Regions from separate parts of the Mus musculus genome. Here region 1 is reported to be linked to region 2. Evidence: microRNA targets listed by miRTarBase, many of them from high-throughput screens and not tested one by one. Region 2 holds a microRNA gene; the other region holds the end of a gene's coding sequence.

Region 1 (8,123 bases), not on the chromosome of region 2:
TGAGCCACACAGAGTTAAAGCATCTCACTAAATGGCAAAGGGAAGGGAGATGGTCTAGAGATTGAAATTACATAGAAAACAAGTGTGATTTCTTTAGAGTCACTGAGAGCTCATATCCATGTACCATCATTCCCATAGACTCTAAAGCTCCTTGGTCCCAGGTTGATCTCCGTGGAGATTTTCATAGCTCTCCTGCACTGCTCTCTAGATTATGCTCAATGGTCTCCCTGTGATAGTGAGCATGGCTTTAACTTTTCCCTCTGTGCCTGCAGCTTGTTTACCATAGCCTGGTGTTTTTCATCTACTTTTTAATCAAGAGTCTTTCAGTCCTTATCTTTCTATTTACAACTGTGCTTCAGTACAGGAGCGTATTTTCCTATGACTTATGCAGATGGGAGAAAAACCAAAATAGATCTTTGAAACACAATGTAATGCCCTTAGAAATACAATGTAGGGCTACTTCTGATAGCATGAATTTCAAAAAATTGCATGTTTTTGTGTGGTCCACGTGATGTTTGGATACATGCATACAGGGAAAACAACTGCCTTTTCCCATGTTTGATCCCTTCTTATTGATTTAGTTTTTAATTGGTTGCCCACAAAAATATATGGGAATGTTCGACTGCTGTATGCCATCTGCAGATCTGTAGAAGACTGTGTGGACACTCCTTACACACTATAGCCCATTGACAGCATCAAGAATGAGAAGGGGAATCTGAGGCAGCACAGCGTCACAGCCTGAGTGCTTTGCGTTTGATTGCAGAGACTGCAGTGACCCCATTCATGGCTTATGCAGCATCTCTCCCTCACTTCCTCCTCTCTGTATCTGCAGAGCTGTAATACTTCCTCTCTGATGCAGAGGGAAAACAAAGGCTTTTTGACAAAGAAATAGGTTGAATCTTTTTTGTTGTTGTTGTTGTTTTTTCAAGACAGGGTTTCTCTGTGTAGCCCTGGCTGTCCTGGAACTCACTTTGTAGACCAGGCTGGCCTAGAACTCAGAAATATGCCTGCCTCTGCCTCCTGAGTGCTGGGAGTAAAGGCGTGCGCCATCCTACAGTTTAGCCCTGTGAACCCTGGGCACATTTATGTCCCTTTGTATTTATCTCATAAAATCCTGAGGGTAACCCTTCTTGTGTTATTAGTAAGGACTGGAAGCAATAAAGTCCTGACAGTGGTGGGTGTCTGGCTCACTATAACATATTTGTTAATAAAAATAAACTCGGGGCTGTAGATATGGTTCAGAGGTTAAAGAACACTAGCTGTTGTTCTAGAGAATGTAGGTTCAATTCCCAGCACCTACGTGGTGGCTCATAACTGTCTGGGACTCCAGTTCTAGGGAACCTGATGCACTCTACTAGACTCTGGGAGCACCAGGCGCAAACACATATGCAGGTCAAACATCCACACACAAGAGAAAAAGACTTGATAAGATTTCTAAAAAAAAAAAGAAAAAATTATATTACTCAGTGGCTGAACAGGTATGGTAGTGTGTATTAGTTAATAACATGGGTCTTTGAGCCAGTTTGTATCCACTTCTCAACTCTCACTCGTGAGCCATTTAACATTTGCAAAATAAGAAATAGAACCTACCTTTAACACCATTGTCAGTCTTGTGTTTTGTTTACTTTCTGACAAGCACTGGGATACTGCCTAAAGTCTGTGTCTCAGGACTGACTATGTAAGGGTGTATGACATATGCACAACTCTGCCTGGGCTTATATTATAAAAACATAACTGATTTTCAGGCTTCGTTTTCATGTTTATAATTTTATGTCGTGTTGTCCTAAAACACATCAGCATAAGAAGGGGAGAGATGCAAGTGTTTTCTGGGTGTCTGTATCTCTGCCCACTCTGACCCTCTGCTGTGCTTTTTCCAGTGTCACTGCAAAGATAAAAGCCATTGAAGCAAAGCTGAAAATGATGGCAGAAAATCCTGATGCAGAGTACCCAGCAGCGCCTGTTTATTCCTACTTTAAACCACCTGATAAAAAAAGGACTACTCCTTACTCTAGAACAGCCTGGAAGTCTCGAAGATGATGGTCGTGAATTACCAGAGCAGCAGAAGCAAATGGTCTCCACGTCTGAAGTCCTTCGCCTCTGTACTGTGTAGATGTGAATGGTACTACCAACAGAGCACAGTCTCTTGTTAGGGCCGGTGACATAGCGTGTTTGGGTGTTCATATGGATGTGTCTTCCCTGAACTATGTGTGAATTGAGCATCATCCAGAATAAATAGGAATGTGTCCAGACTGTGATGTGAACACTGAGATGCGCTAGTTGGCTGCTTTGTTTGGATTTGTAACTCCAGAAACACAATGTGCCAGAGAGAAAAACAAGCATACAACGTTGTTATTTAAATCAGGAAACTAAATGTATTAACATCCACCAAAAACTTTTAGCATTTTTATGTGTACACTTCTCTTCAACATAAACAAAAAATAAGGGTGAGGGTGGAAAGTGAGAGACGTTTACAGTCATTTTTAGAACTGTTTGGGAATGTACTGTAGAAATCCTTCAGTTGAATTCAAAAGAGAATTCTTGGCAAAAAGCAGCTGATCCCTTGAGTGAATGTTGTAGCAGTCTGTTTAAGAATTATGCTTATTATTTCCAAATCTCAGTTAGGAAAATGTGGTATACGTCTTAAAATTGTTTATGTCGTCAAAGTGTAGAGACACATTTAACATTTTATACCACAACAGATACTCTATTTGGAAATCCAGCTTTTATTCTTTGGCAATCATGGTTTTGAATCTGAATGACCTTGCCTTCTATAATACCAAATGTTATTACTAACCCGGGTTTTAATACACTTACTGCATGAGATTGTTTTATAGCATGGGGTTGTTGCAGTTAGAACTGTATCATGATCAATCTAAATAGAAAAGCAGAATTTCTTTGAAAACCTAAAGTTTGCTGTATTGGTTACTGTCAAGCATTACTTTGTCACAGTTGTATGGGGCTGTAAGAAGCAGCTGAGTGACCTTGTTGCAGCTGAGAGAGAAAGTGCAGTGAGCAGCAGGAGTCAGCAGCCGGTGCTCAGGCATCAAGACCGTAACAACCACACTCGTTCTGTCCTTTTGGAAGACCGCACGGCCTAAAACTGAACGTTACCCTGAAAGCATGCTTCTCTCCAGATATCTCTGTCTCCTTGGAGATATGAACATGGTAGTATAGAGACACACATAGACAGACAGCCTTGGGAATGTGTTTCTTCAGCTCAGTGCTGATTGAATTGGTGCCGGGCCTGACAGACTGTTCATTAGCAACACCGTTCTTCACTGAGCAGGTCACTGTCGCTCACCACAGGTGCCACCCATGATGACTTGGGTTGTAGAGACACTTGACTTAACTTCTGGGGTTTCAGAATCCACAGAACTGTTTCAGAGGAATTCTTACTGCTTTTCCCAAGTCGGTTTTTTAGCTATCTTTAGATACTGAATATGTCCCAGATTTATCAGTTGTGTGTATCTGTGATGTGGGAAACTCTCCTTCCACTTGGGAGCTCATTCAGGGAAGTGGGAACACCGGCTCCCATTTGTCTGGTGACTTATTAGAATATAGAATTCACCATTTCATCCTTAAGTTCTCAAAGGGTTGTGGTGGAGTAGAATTTGATGCCAATAGCCTTCTATTTTTAATAGGAACCTAGAGAATACTTAGGATTATCTAGAGTTGTTTCTTTAGAATCTAGAACTATTTATTTGTATTTAAACAATGTCTATGATTTGTACCAATTCTTACCCCTCTATGTGAATAAACGCAAGACGACAGTATCTATGTGGTCTTATTGTCTTTCATCCACGTCCTGGATCACAACTTTCTGGTAGACTGGTTTCCACTCAAATCGGCCAGGAGCTTATCCACGTGACGTGCTGCTTTCAAGTGCCTTCTTTCCAAAAGGCTCCACGGGCCAAGTCTCTTCATCCCTTTCCCTGCCTAGCCTTGCCCTTAGAGGTGAGGAAGGGGACTAGGTGGCCTCCTGGCACAGGTGGCTGAAAGGAAAGTAGGAGGTTGAAGTCCCTGCATGCCATGAATGTTCCTTCTCTCTAAGTACAAGTTTTCACAGAATGAATGTGCACATTGTAAATACACTGAAAGGGTCTGATGAGAAGCTTTGAATTACAGCTGTTAACCCAGGCTATTAAGAGATCGTCTGTACTTTGAAATTATTCTTCGGTTGCTATTTGTCAACATCATCTCACTTTTAATTTTGACTTGAGTGGAGAATTGATGGGAATACTTAGGTAGGACTGGAGGGTTGATGGGAATACTAAGGTGGAAGTGTGACATTACTCTAACCTGTTGGGTTTCTTTACTTGGCACCTCAGTGTTTGGGGGAGGGGTCACCTGAGGAGACATTACTCAAAGCATGCTGTAAATCAGGAAAGCTCTTTTTTATGAAGCCATGCATTCTACAACCCCATCTCTTACAAAGATGAGCAGCTAATTTCCAAATTCACCCATCCATTTCTGATTCTTATACTAGGGCAGAAAAGATCAAGGTATTCTTGCCTTATAAATTAAATGTTAAACATTTCCTGTGTATAATCACCGTGTTCCTAAAATATTTGAACCCCACAAATCTGTCCTTGATTTCTCTTTTTGGTTTTTTTTTTCTTCTAGCTCCTATATGGTCCATCTTGCAATACCTTACTAATAATCTGCACCACCCCCTGCCCCCACCTCTAAAGTTGCCCTGCTTGAGAGTATTTGAACTGAGGGAGTTGAACGAAGGAATTTGCATACACTAGATAAGTGCTCTTATCGTTGAACTACATACTTAGCCCTTTACTTGTTTTTTCATGTTGAGAAATTATCACATGCTATAACCCAAGTAGGCCTTGAACTTGTGTCTCAGACCTCAAGCAGCTGGGATAACAAATCTTGTCACAAGACCCCACAAGCCTTCTTTAAAAATTGTTTTGAAATGTCATTCTCAAGCTATATACAGTAGCATGTATCTGTAGTCATAGCTACTTGAGAGGCAGAAGTAGAACCATTTAAGTCCAGAAAGTCTTAGCCTGCACACCATAGCAAGACTTTTAAAAGTTTAGATAAATAAACAAACATTTGACGGCTTTCCATCACATCTAGACTATAATCCAAAGATCTATATGGTCCCAAACGACTTACACTTAACTACCGTCTCCCATATGGCTTCTTCCCCCATCAGTCATTGTCCTCAGCCATAGTGGCCTCCCTGTTCCTTTGGGTACAAGGGAACAACTCCCTGAGAGGTTCCATTAGCTGCTGTTGCCTGAGATGCTCTTGAGCCCACACCATCTGCTCATTTCTCTCCTCACGTGTCAGTGATTAAGAGGCTGTCCTTGGCCTCCCGTCAAAATTACATCCCTGCCGCTTTCCACTTCTTGCCTTCTTATTTTCTAAATAGAACTAACTCACCACTACCCAACATTCTATATAATTGGATATCTGTCCTCTGTTTAAATATAATGTTGACTTCAAGAAAGAACGTTGTCACTGCCCTGTCACCAGACTTTTAAACAGTGCCTATCGTGTGGCACATGCTCAGTGAAATTGCTGAGTGAGATACTAGGATGCCAGTTGCTTGAAACTCGAAGAGACTTTTGAGACCATCCTACGCCACTCCCTTGTGATCCAGGTGGGAAGTAGGGAAACCCAGAGAGATGATGGGGCTTACACAGGATCATACAATTAATAGATGGCACAGTTTCAGTGTGTCCTTCAAGGGTTCATGTGATGAAGCTGAGCCCCCATTGTGAAGTATTAAAAGGCTGGACAATTGAACCAAGTTGGTGGCACATGCCTTCGATCCCATCACTTAGGATATAAAGGCAGGTGGATTTTTGTGACTTCAAGGCCAGCCTGGTCTACAGAGTGAGTTCCAAGCCAGCCAAAGCTACAGTGAGACCCTGTCTCAAGAAAAAAGAAAATGGAAAGTTGAAGAGGGACAAGGAAGGGGAGGAGGACCAGTAGGTGCATGTATGCATGCTTACTCCCTGAGAGTCATCTTGCATACCTCACATGTAAACCTCAAGACCCTGTCAGTAAGAAGGCCATCATTAGATGCCATCCCTTGACTACTGGTGGACCTCCAGAACTGTGCTGAAGTTAACCTCTCTCCTTTAGCTATAAGGTAGCCTACCTCGTGTACTTTATTATGTACTTCAAGCACAGCACAATAGAAGAGCTTTAGGTAGAATCTAAATATGTCAGGCCTACAAGCATCTCCCCAAGTAGGTGGTGCCTCGGCAGAGTGACACACGCTGCCTCTTTTTGTACAGCTGTGAATGTAAGTGGTTGAGGGAAAAAGTCAAAGACTATCATCTTGTGGCACATGAAAATCAAATTTCAGGGTCCAAGGAAGTTTTAATTAGAACACAGATGTCCTCATGAATTCACATTATTGATTCTCAGGCCATTTTTCACTCTAGCAACATTCGAGTGGTTACACCAAAAATTCATGGGTCCTCAAAGCCTGAAGTATATACATATCTGCTCTAAACTGCCCTGTTACTGGAAATGTCTTTCTGCCGAGGAAACATACTTATTCCACAACCATGGTGCCACCATGGTAAGTATAGAAAGTACAGGAAGCAGATGACATAATGGTATGCAATGAGTGTTATTATTTTCTCCTTTCTCCATATCTATTATGTGCATGAGAGGGTTTTTTGGTTGTTTTTTGTTTGGTTTGGTTTTGGAGGTTGTTTGGTTGGTTTTTGGTTTTGGGTGTTTGTTTGTTTGTTTGTTTGTTTGTTTTTGCCTGCATGTATGTGCACCATGTGCATCCAGTGCCCTCAGAGGCCAGAAGAGAGTCAAGTCCTCTAGAACTGGTGTCAGAGATAGTTATGAGCTGACACATGGGTCCTGAGAACTGAGACCCTGTCTTCTGGAAGAGCAGCCATTGCGCCAGCCTCCTGTTGCTAGTTTCTTATTTGCCTCTGGAATAGGGAATTGCCTATACCAACCTAGTATCACTGTACTGCAAATGACTGCAACCTCCTCATTGACCACATGAGGAAGCCAAGCCATGTGCACACTAGCATCAGATGTCCCTGAGTTAGTTTTCCAGTCCCAGTCAGAATTCTTTCAGCTCATGTGACAAAAATCAATGTTCCAACCACCTTGTAGTATGAATTTTACTGGCTCCTGTAACTAAAAATCTCAGGTATTCATATGATACGTCTAGAGGTCTGTCTCTGGATTGTGGTTCCCTTTTGATTACATCCTTTCGTGGGCAAAGCTCTTCTCTTCCTAGTGGTCTCTGGAGAGGAGAGAGATTTGAATCTTGGGTTCAAGCAATCAGACCAATGAGATCTGTCCCAGAACATAGGGCACAGGTGTTACCTTTTTACATTCACTTTCAGCCCAACTTTTATTAGGAGTATTGATTACACAGAATGACATTTTATGTTTCCATATGCCCTGTGACTAGGATAGAAATATCATTAAAGCCCCAAGAGGACCTTCCCCCTTCTCAGGAAAGAAGGGGAGGGGGATGGAGGGAGGGACTGTGTAAGTGTGGGACCAGGAGGAAGGAGGACAGCAACAGGGATATAAAATGAATAATTAATGAATGAAAAAAAAGAAAGATCATTAAAGTGGTAGGTAGCCTTTTTTCCTCCCTAAAATTTCTACTATTTGAGAAGCTGTTTTTGCCCCTCCCCACAGCTAAGGAAACATATTCCACAGCCATAGACTATGGCCATAAGGATGATAGAATCTAATCCCAATATATGGTCACATACTGTGATAAAACAAGAACAGAGGAGAGATCTCTGCCCCAGGTAGGGGCAGAGATGAGTGAATAATGTTTTCCCAGAAAATGGCTGTGCTAAGCCAAGGACTTAAGTAGAGAGCCATAGGTAGGGGGAGGGGGGTGGAGAGAGCAAATGGTCAGCATAAGAGCGCTTGGGATTTAATTGCTATGGAAGTAAGCTCTGTCCAGGTACCTGTATGTGTAGAATAAACCAGGCTTCGGTGCTTTTACAGTTTCCCCAGTGTGCTGTCCCCTAGCCCCAGGAGACTCGATAGTACAAACTAGAGAATCTCCCAGATTCATGGACCATCATCCCTGCCCCATACAGAATTCTTGTAAAGGCATTCCTTCTGCTTAGAAAGTAATGCTCGCCCAGCTA
Region 2 (7,000 bases):
TCACAGTGCTGGGCTCCCTCCCAGAGCCCAGATTAGGCACAAACCACACACAAACACCATTTTCACAGAGAAATCCCTTATTAAGCTGATAGTAAAGGTAAAAATGGTTGCTCTCTAACTTAGGCAGAAAAACAGCAGCAAGTGACTTTGCAGGTGTAATTTTTGAGAAGAGAAAAAGTGGGGGCTGTGTTACAGTGGGCTAGGATGTAGTGATAAGGTTTGTTGGTCATGTTATTAACATGGGGGTTTTGATTGGTGGACCTTTATAGCCTCAGGAATGAGTCTACATGAGAAAATGTCCAAATGAGGGAATAGGCCTTTATGCCTAGCTTTAGGGATATAATCTGTGGTTTACAGGAGAGAGGGAGGGAAAAGGCAAGGCCTGGCAGTGCCATGGGCATGCTAGAGCCCTTCAGAAAACTAATGAGACAAGACAACCAGGTACAGGGTCCATAGCCCTTGGTTGAATTGTTAGGCTGAGTCAGAATAGCTGAATACGAAGTATATTAAACACTAAATACATTTTATCAGAAGTAAAAGTTTAATATAATTAATAAATTGTGTGCATCTGAAGTAACCTTGTTCTTAGGAGAACTGTTGAATTATTAAAGATTGAAATGTCCTATTGGTTACAATCTGCTCTCAGTTGGTCCAGCAAAAAAAAAAAAAAAAAAAATTCGTGTAGAAAGGCAGAAGTGTTTCCTGTTTGCAAATCTAAACAAAGATTATCTGAAAGCTCCCATACTATGGAAACTGTTCCATTTGAAAATTCCTAAAATACTGGGGCTGGGGAGATAGCTCAGCAGTTAAGAGCATTGGCTACTCTTCCTGAAGACCAGAGTTCAATTCCCAGCACCCACATGGTAGCTCCCAACTGTCTATAACTCCAGTTCCAGGCACTCTCACACACGAACGTCTGTATATGCAGGCATAATACCAATACACATAGAATAAAAATAAGTAAATTATGAAGAAAAAAAGAAAAGAAAATTCTCAGAATAAAAAGGGAAGAATTACAGGGAAGAATTGCAAATTTAAGTAGCCATGCTAAGTTACTAAAACAACATAAATTCCTATTAAAGAATAAATTGGCAGGCTAGCAAGATGGTCCAGTAGTTGTGAGTGCTTACTGTTCTCTCAAAGAGTTCGGTTCTCAGAACTCATATGGGACAGTTCACAGTCACCTGTAACACCAGTTCCAGGGAGTCAGTGACAGGTAGATACACACGCATATACATATAAACATGAGGTTAAGTAATAACTTTTTGTTGTTGTTGTTTTTCAAGACACGGTTTCTCTGTGTGGCCCTGACTGTCCTGGAACTCGCTCTATAGACCAGGCTAGCCTCCAACTCACAGAGATCTACCTGCCTCTGCCTCCAGAGTGCTGGGATTATAATAATACTCATAATATTCTTTATTTCACTGCCATCTCTAAGAATTAATACTAGCTATGGTGGTGTGAGTGAGAAAATCTTCCATAGGTGCCCGTATTTGAACACTTGGTCTCAGGTGCATGGTATCATTTGGGGATGTGTTGGAGGTGTGGCCTTGTTGGAAGAGGAGTGTATTAGTAGAGTCCAGCTTTGAAAGTTTAAAGATTCCCAAAATTTACTGCTGTTCTCTCAGCTTAGTGCTTATGGTTCAAGATGTGAGACTGGAGAGATGACTCAGAGGTTTCCAGGGCATTCTTCTGCTCATGGAGAGAACCTGAGTTCAATTCCCAGCACCCACAACAGGTCTCTCACAACTGCCCGTATCCCCCCTTCCAGGGGGTCTGTGACTCCTGGTCTCCACAGGCAACTATAACTTGCATGCACAAAGCTACACACATAAACACATAATTGAAATTAACAGTGTTTTTAAAAAGGTGTGAGTTCTTGGCATCCAGTTCCTACCTACAGTTTGCTGCCATTCTTCCCCACCATGATGGAACTATAAGCCAAACAAGCCCCTCCTTGTATACGTTATGTTGGCTATGATGTTTAACCACAGCAGTAGAAAAGGAACACATAGCTGCATGATTGTTGAACTCCAAAGCCATGTCTTGGTGTTTCAGAACACAGGCATAGGGGTGATCTGGTCACATTCTTTGTATCTGTTTAATGTTTCCATTACTTCAGTCTAATTAACCCCTCTCTCCTACCAGCTACTGCTACTCTAATCCTAGTTTTATCCTGAGGGTTAAGTTTCCTCTGTTGTCATCATCCCTCCTGAATCTGCACCAACTCTCCCAAGAGTTTTTTGTTTTGTTTTTAAGGTTTATTTACTTTTTTATTGTGTGTGTGTGTGTGTGTGTGTGTGTGTGTATACCTGCATGAGTCTATGTGCACCATGTGTACAGAGCCCTCGAAGGCCAGAAGAGAGTGTCTGTTCCCTCTAGAATTGGAGTTACAGTAGTTATGAGCTGCCATATTGATGCTGGGAACCAAACCTCGTCCTCTGCAAGATCAACCAGTGCTCTTAGCCATCTCTTTAGTCCCATCCCCATTTGTAAATGTCTGAGCCATCTTGTTAGGCTCTTTGAACCCAGCCCAGCTCTAGATGTTGGGGAGAAAGAAACTTTTTTCCTAGGAGGGTTTGTAGTTTGCTTCATCACCTTCTGTAAGAGATCACTGCCTTCACTAATATCAGATGTGCTGCTGTACTTTTTTATTTGATCATTTTCAGTCTCCTTTGGCAACATTGCCCAGTCTCCTCTTTTTGCTAGGATGATAAAGCTACAGTGAGATCTATTCACTCTTGTCCTCCTAACAGTGAATATTGACAAGTGTTGAACTAATTAAATTTTTCTTTCCCAAACAGCTTCCTGTTGAGATTAGTTGACGCGCCCATTTAGTGTTCGGTTAAGGAAATTACTGGATTGGTTGCCTTGGCTACCTGTGCAGCTCTCCCCACTTCCAGCTTGAGTCTTCAAGAGGGAGCCTCAGAACTGATTTCTAAAACCAATTGTACTTGGTGTGATTATAAAGCAATGAGACTGATTGTCATATGTCGTTTGTGGGATCCGTCTCAGTTACTTTATAGCCATACCTGGTATCTTAACACCACAGATCATGCCTGTTGATCAACATTGTAAAAGCACAAACTTAAGGTTTCTAAATGGAAATTTAAACTGGTTTAGCATTCTTTTATGATTCTTTTTAACTCACTCACCAGAGGCAGATGTTAACTTAATAATGCTAGTTTTAATTTTGTTGTCTCCTTTTTGTTTATAGATTTTTTAAGCAAAAATAAACTGGTAAACTACTACTCTAATAAAGTGAATAAACCGTTTTGAATACAGTATTATGCAAATATATATTCCATTGAGCTATATTTTTTTCAAAACTTCTGTTACTGAGTTTCTGTTGTGTCTCATCTTGACTGCTAAAGGTAACAAGAAATCAAAACAAGTGTTTCTAATATTTGTTGACAGAGCCTTCAAAAGGTCAGGTCTGGGGTCTCTGCTTGCTGTTTTGAGAGGGTATTTTGTGTTTGGATGCACAATCCTCCTTCATACTCACAAAAGTGACCTTGGTGAGTAGCTGCTCACTCTGACTTAAAACAGGCCCTTGAAGCCATGTGAGAAAAGGACTTGAAAACACAACTGAACCATCCTTGTAATTAACTTATAAAAGTTGTGCCTGTGGGCAGAACTCTGAACAGCTTTTAGGAACTGAAGGTTTTAGGTATCATTATGGGTAGTAGTCCAGAAAGTTGAAACTTGGGCCTGCCTAGAGGATTTGAGTGCGCTGGGCATGGTTAAACAAGGTGGAAAACTAACATAAAACTCAAGTCTGAGGCTAGCCGAGGCAATGTGAGATGCTGGCTCCAAACTGGGTGGGAAAATTGTTGCGTTTGAGCTCCAGAAGTGCCCTGGAAGGAGCTTTACTGTAGACAGAAGACCAAAGTTAGTTTCAAAGGTTGTTGGTAAAAGATGTTGCCGTTCGGCACTTGTCACTCCATAGCCAAGTGTGTGCCCTAAGAAGTACCCTTCTTTCTGTTTCTTAGAGCAGTCCTTGCTCAGCAGTGCGTGTGAGGATGAGTAGTGCAAGGACCACCTGTTCAGACTGTAAATGACAGTGCTTCTCTGTCAGAACTTTCCAGATTGATTGCTATAGAAAGGTTTTCTACTGAAGACTTAACCTGATTTAGTCACAGGTGGCTGCTTTCACAGTGCTTCTAATGCACCGGTAAGGCAGTTTGTGCATTGTTAACACCACAGTTGCTTTATGCGTTACCTGTTTGGAGCACTGTACATGTTCTCATGCCTGTCAGTTTACACAGCTGCAGCCTCATGTCAGTTGAACTGGAATCTATAAACCTTAGTGAAAATTATGGTAATTTCTCTATGGAGCATATGTGTATATTTATTTGATGTGTCTATGAATTTCAGATGTCACTTTAGTCTGTGTATTTGTTTTACATTACAGGCACGGGAGATATTATTGCTGTCATGATAACAGAATTGAGGGGTAAGGATATTTTGAGTTATCTGGAGAAAAACATCTCTGTACAAATGACAATAGCTGTTGGAACTCGAATGCCGCCAAAGAACTTCAGCCGTGGCTCTCTAGTCTTCGTGTCAATCTCCTTTATTGTTTTGATGATTATTTCTTCAGCGTGGCTCATATTCTACTTCATTCAGAAGATCAGGTACACAAATGCTCGGGACAGGAACCAGGTGAGCTAACCAGTACTCTAGCCAGCCGTAATCCATGAGGATCTTGTGATAATACTTGTTTATGTCATATATTTAAAAACAAGACCAACAACAACAAGATAAAAACATGCCAAGTATGGTGCTGTACCCTGTAATACCTGCACTCGGGGTTTTGAGGCCAGTTGGACTACGCAGGCGTTCCAGGCCATATTCTATCTCAGTTTTAAAAAGAAAAAGAAATGAAAGAAAATGTTGTTCTACATAATCACACTGTAACTATCAAAGTCAGTAAATGAATGTCCTTTCAGTACATTTCCTGACCTATCGGCTCTCTCAGGTTCTCCAGAACTGCTTAGAAGTATCCTTAAGGGCAACAAAAACCCCAGATTAGTTAGGCCAGAATGTGTGTTACATTTAGTTGTGCTGTCTCTTTACTGCTTCCTGATACTGGCATCTCAGAAGAGCACAGGTCTGTGTCCTGTGTCTTGTGGTTTCGGTCAAGGTTGTTTGCATTTTGTCAGCATCACCAGCTCCTTTTAGTATTAGGGTAGTGGTAACCTTGCTCTTATTTATTGAAGCAATAGAGATCCATTTCCCAAGTGGTTGCATCTTGCCCAACAGTAGTGAATATCACAGCACAGATCCATGGCTGTACTGGGCCCACTGATGTCTTTAGAGCTGTCCTGTTTAATATGTGCTCATGGACATGTGTGCTTCTGTTCAACTCCATTACATGCAGATTCATGTACTCAGCACAAAAGCTGTAGGACAGGTTTGTTTGTTTGTTTGTTTTTTGGTAAGGAAAGGGTCCAATATTCTCTCATAGCCAGAGACTCTCCCTTCCCCTAACCGTTCAGCACCACTAACTTAATCTTCATCTAGTGCCATTTCAAGAGTGTTGAATAGACAGAGTGTACTTCACCTGGAGAGCTGTGTTTCTTCTTTGTTCAGCAGAGTTCCCTTGAAGTCCTTCCAAGCTGTACACATAAGTAATTTTCTTTTTATTGCTGAGTACTATTCCACGGTATGGATGTACTATAATTTACTTAGCTATTCACTTATTGAAGGATAGCTGAATAATTTTCAGCTAGGGAGTCTAATAAATTAGCTATGATGTTCATGTACTGGTTTTTGTCTGACCATGAGTTTTCATTTTCCTAGAATAAAAGTATAATACTGAATAAATAAATGTTTAATTCAGGTTTGTTGTTGTTGTTGCTGTTTTTAAAGTGTGCCCTTTTCCAGTGTGTGGCTGTTCCAGTTTCTCCACATCTTGACATGATTTGATAGAATAACACTTCTTTTGTGATTATAGTGTGCATTTCTCCCATTGTCACCTATATGAGCATCTGTGTGTGTGTGTGTGTATGTGTGTGTGTGTGTGTGTGTGTGTGTGTGTGTGTATTATGTCCACTGCACCCAAGTTTGTGGGTACAGAAATGTAGTTTCATGTCTTCATACTTGTATAGCAGGCACCATGCTGACAGCCATCTCCCTACCCTGAGCATATTTTCAAGTGCTTCAGTGAAATGTCTTGAGTCTCTTCCCTGTTTTCTTCCTGAATTCTTTGTCTTTTACTGTTGAGGATTTTAAATCCTTGTCTCTGTGCACCACTTGCATACAGTCACCTTGGAAAATAGGGAGAGTGTTAGATATCCTGGGGCTGGAGATACAGGCAGTTGTGAACCACCGTATGGATGCTAGGAATTGAACCCAGGTTCTCTGGAAGAGCAGCCAGTGCTCTTAACCACTCCTTACCATTGAGTTTTTAGACTCTTTATGTATTTAGATATGATATTTGCTATGTCTGATAATGTGCTTTAAAATATTTTCTTCCCAGTTTGTCTATTCAGTCACTTTAATAGTCTTGAAAAACAAATTGTTAAGGATTTTCTAATTTTGGTAAAGTTTAATATGAATTTTTCCTTGAAACTGTATGTTTGGTATCAATTGTAAAAAAGCTCTTTATCACACAAAGATTTTCTTTAAATGTTTAAAGCATTACATTTTAGATCAAGTCAACAGGTCATTTGACTGAAGTGGTTTCTCTTGTAATGCACACATTTTGTGCTATACATTTCTCTCTGCACTGTTTTAGCTCTCCCTAACTGGTTTCGGCACATGCTTTCATTCAGTTGTGTGTTCTCCTGCCTCAGGCCCCCCATGTGCTGGGATGATAGCATGCACCAGCATGCTCAGTCAGCCTGGAATATTTTTTCACTTAACACTTCTTCGACCTGTGTATTAAGAACTGCCTCGTTTCCAATTTAGAGTCTGCTGTGGGGTAGAGCTAATGGTGCTTGATTTGCTTGTGTTATGATCAGAGAAATTCTGGTTTTAGTTCTTTCTAATTTTT

Evidence for each region. The annotated mature microRNA mmu-miR-340-5p reads UUAUAAAGCAAUGAGACUGAUU and lies in region 2 at 2,964-2,985, shown strand. An mRNA with a match to its seed (bases 2 to 7 or 8) in the 3' UTR can be bound and repressed. Matches are read on the target gene's strand: a 7mer-m8 pairs with bases 2 to 8, a 7mer-A1 pairs with bases 2 to 7 and ends in A, and an 8mer does both.
Region 1: the mRNA of Rbm18 is a reported target of mmu-miR-340-5p. The part of its 3' UTR that is shown has no 7-base or 8-base seed match.

Annotation. Positions count from the first base shown.
Region 1 is chr2:36,111,729-36,119,851 of GRCm38, reverse strand. Rbm18 (RNA binding motif protein 18) reads left to right here. Exons shown (of 6, transcript NM_026434.4): 6 at 1,878-3,773. The coding sequence ends at 2,037. Among named protein-coding and RNA genes, the nearest start is that of Lhx6, 12 kb to the right of the region's middle.
Region 2 is chr11:50,066,757-50,073,756 of GRCm38, forward strand. It overlaps Mir340 (microRNA 340), which reads left to right and starts at 2,946; the gene lies at 2,946-3,043. Rnf130 (ring finger protein 130) reads left to right here. Exons shown (of 9, transcript NM_021540.4): 3 at 4,415-4,665.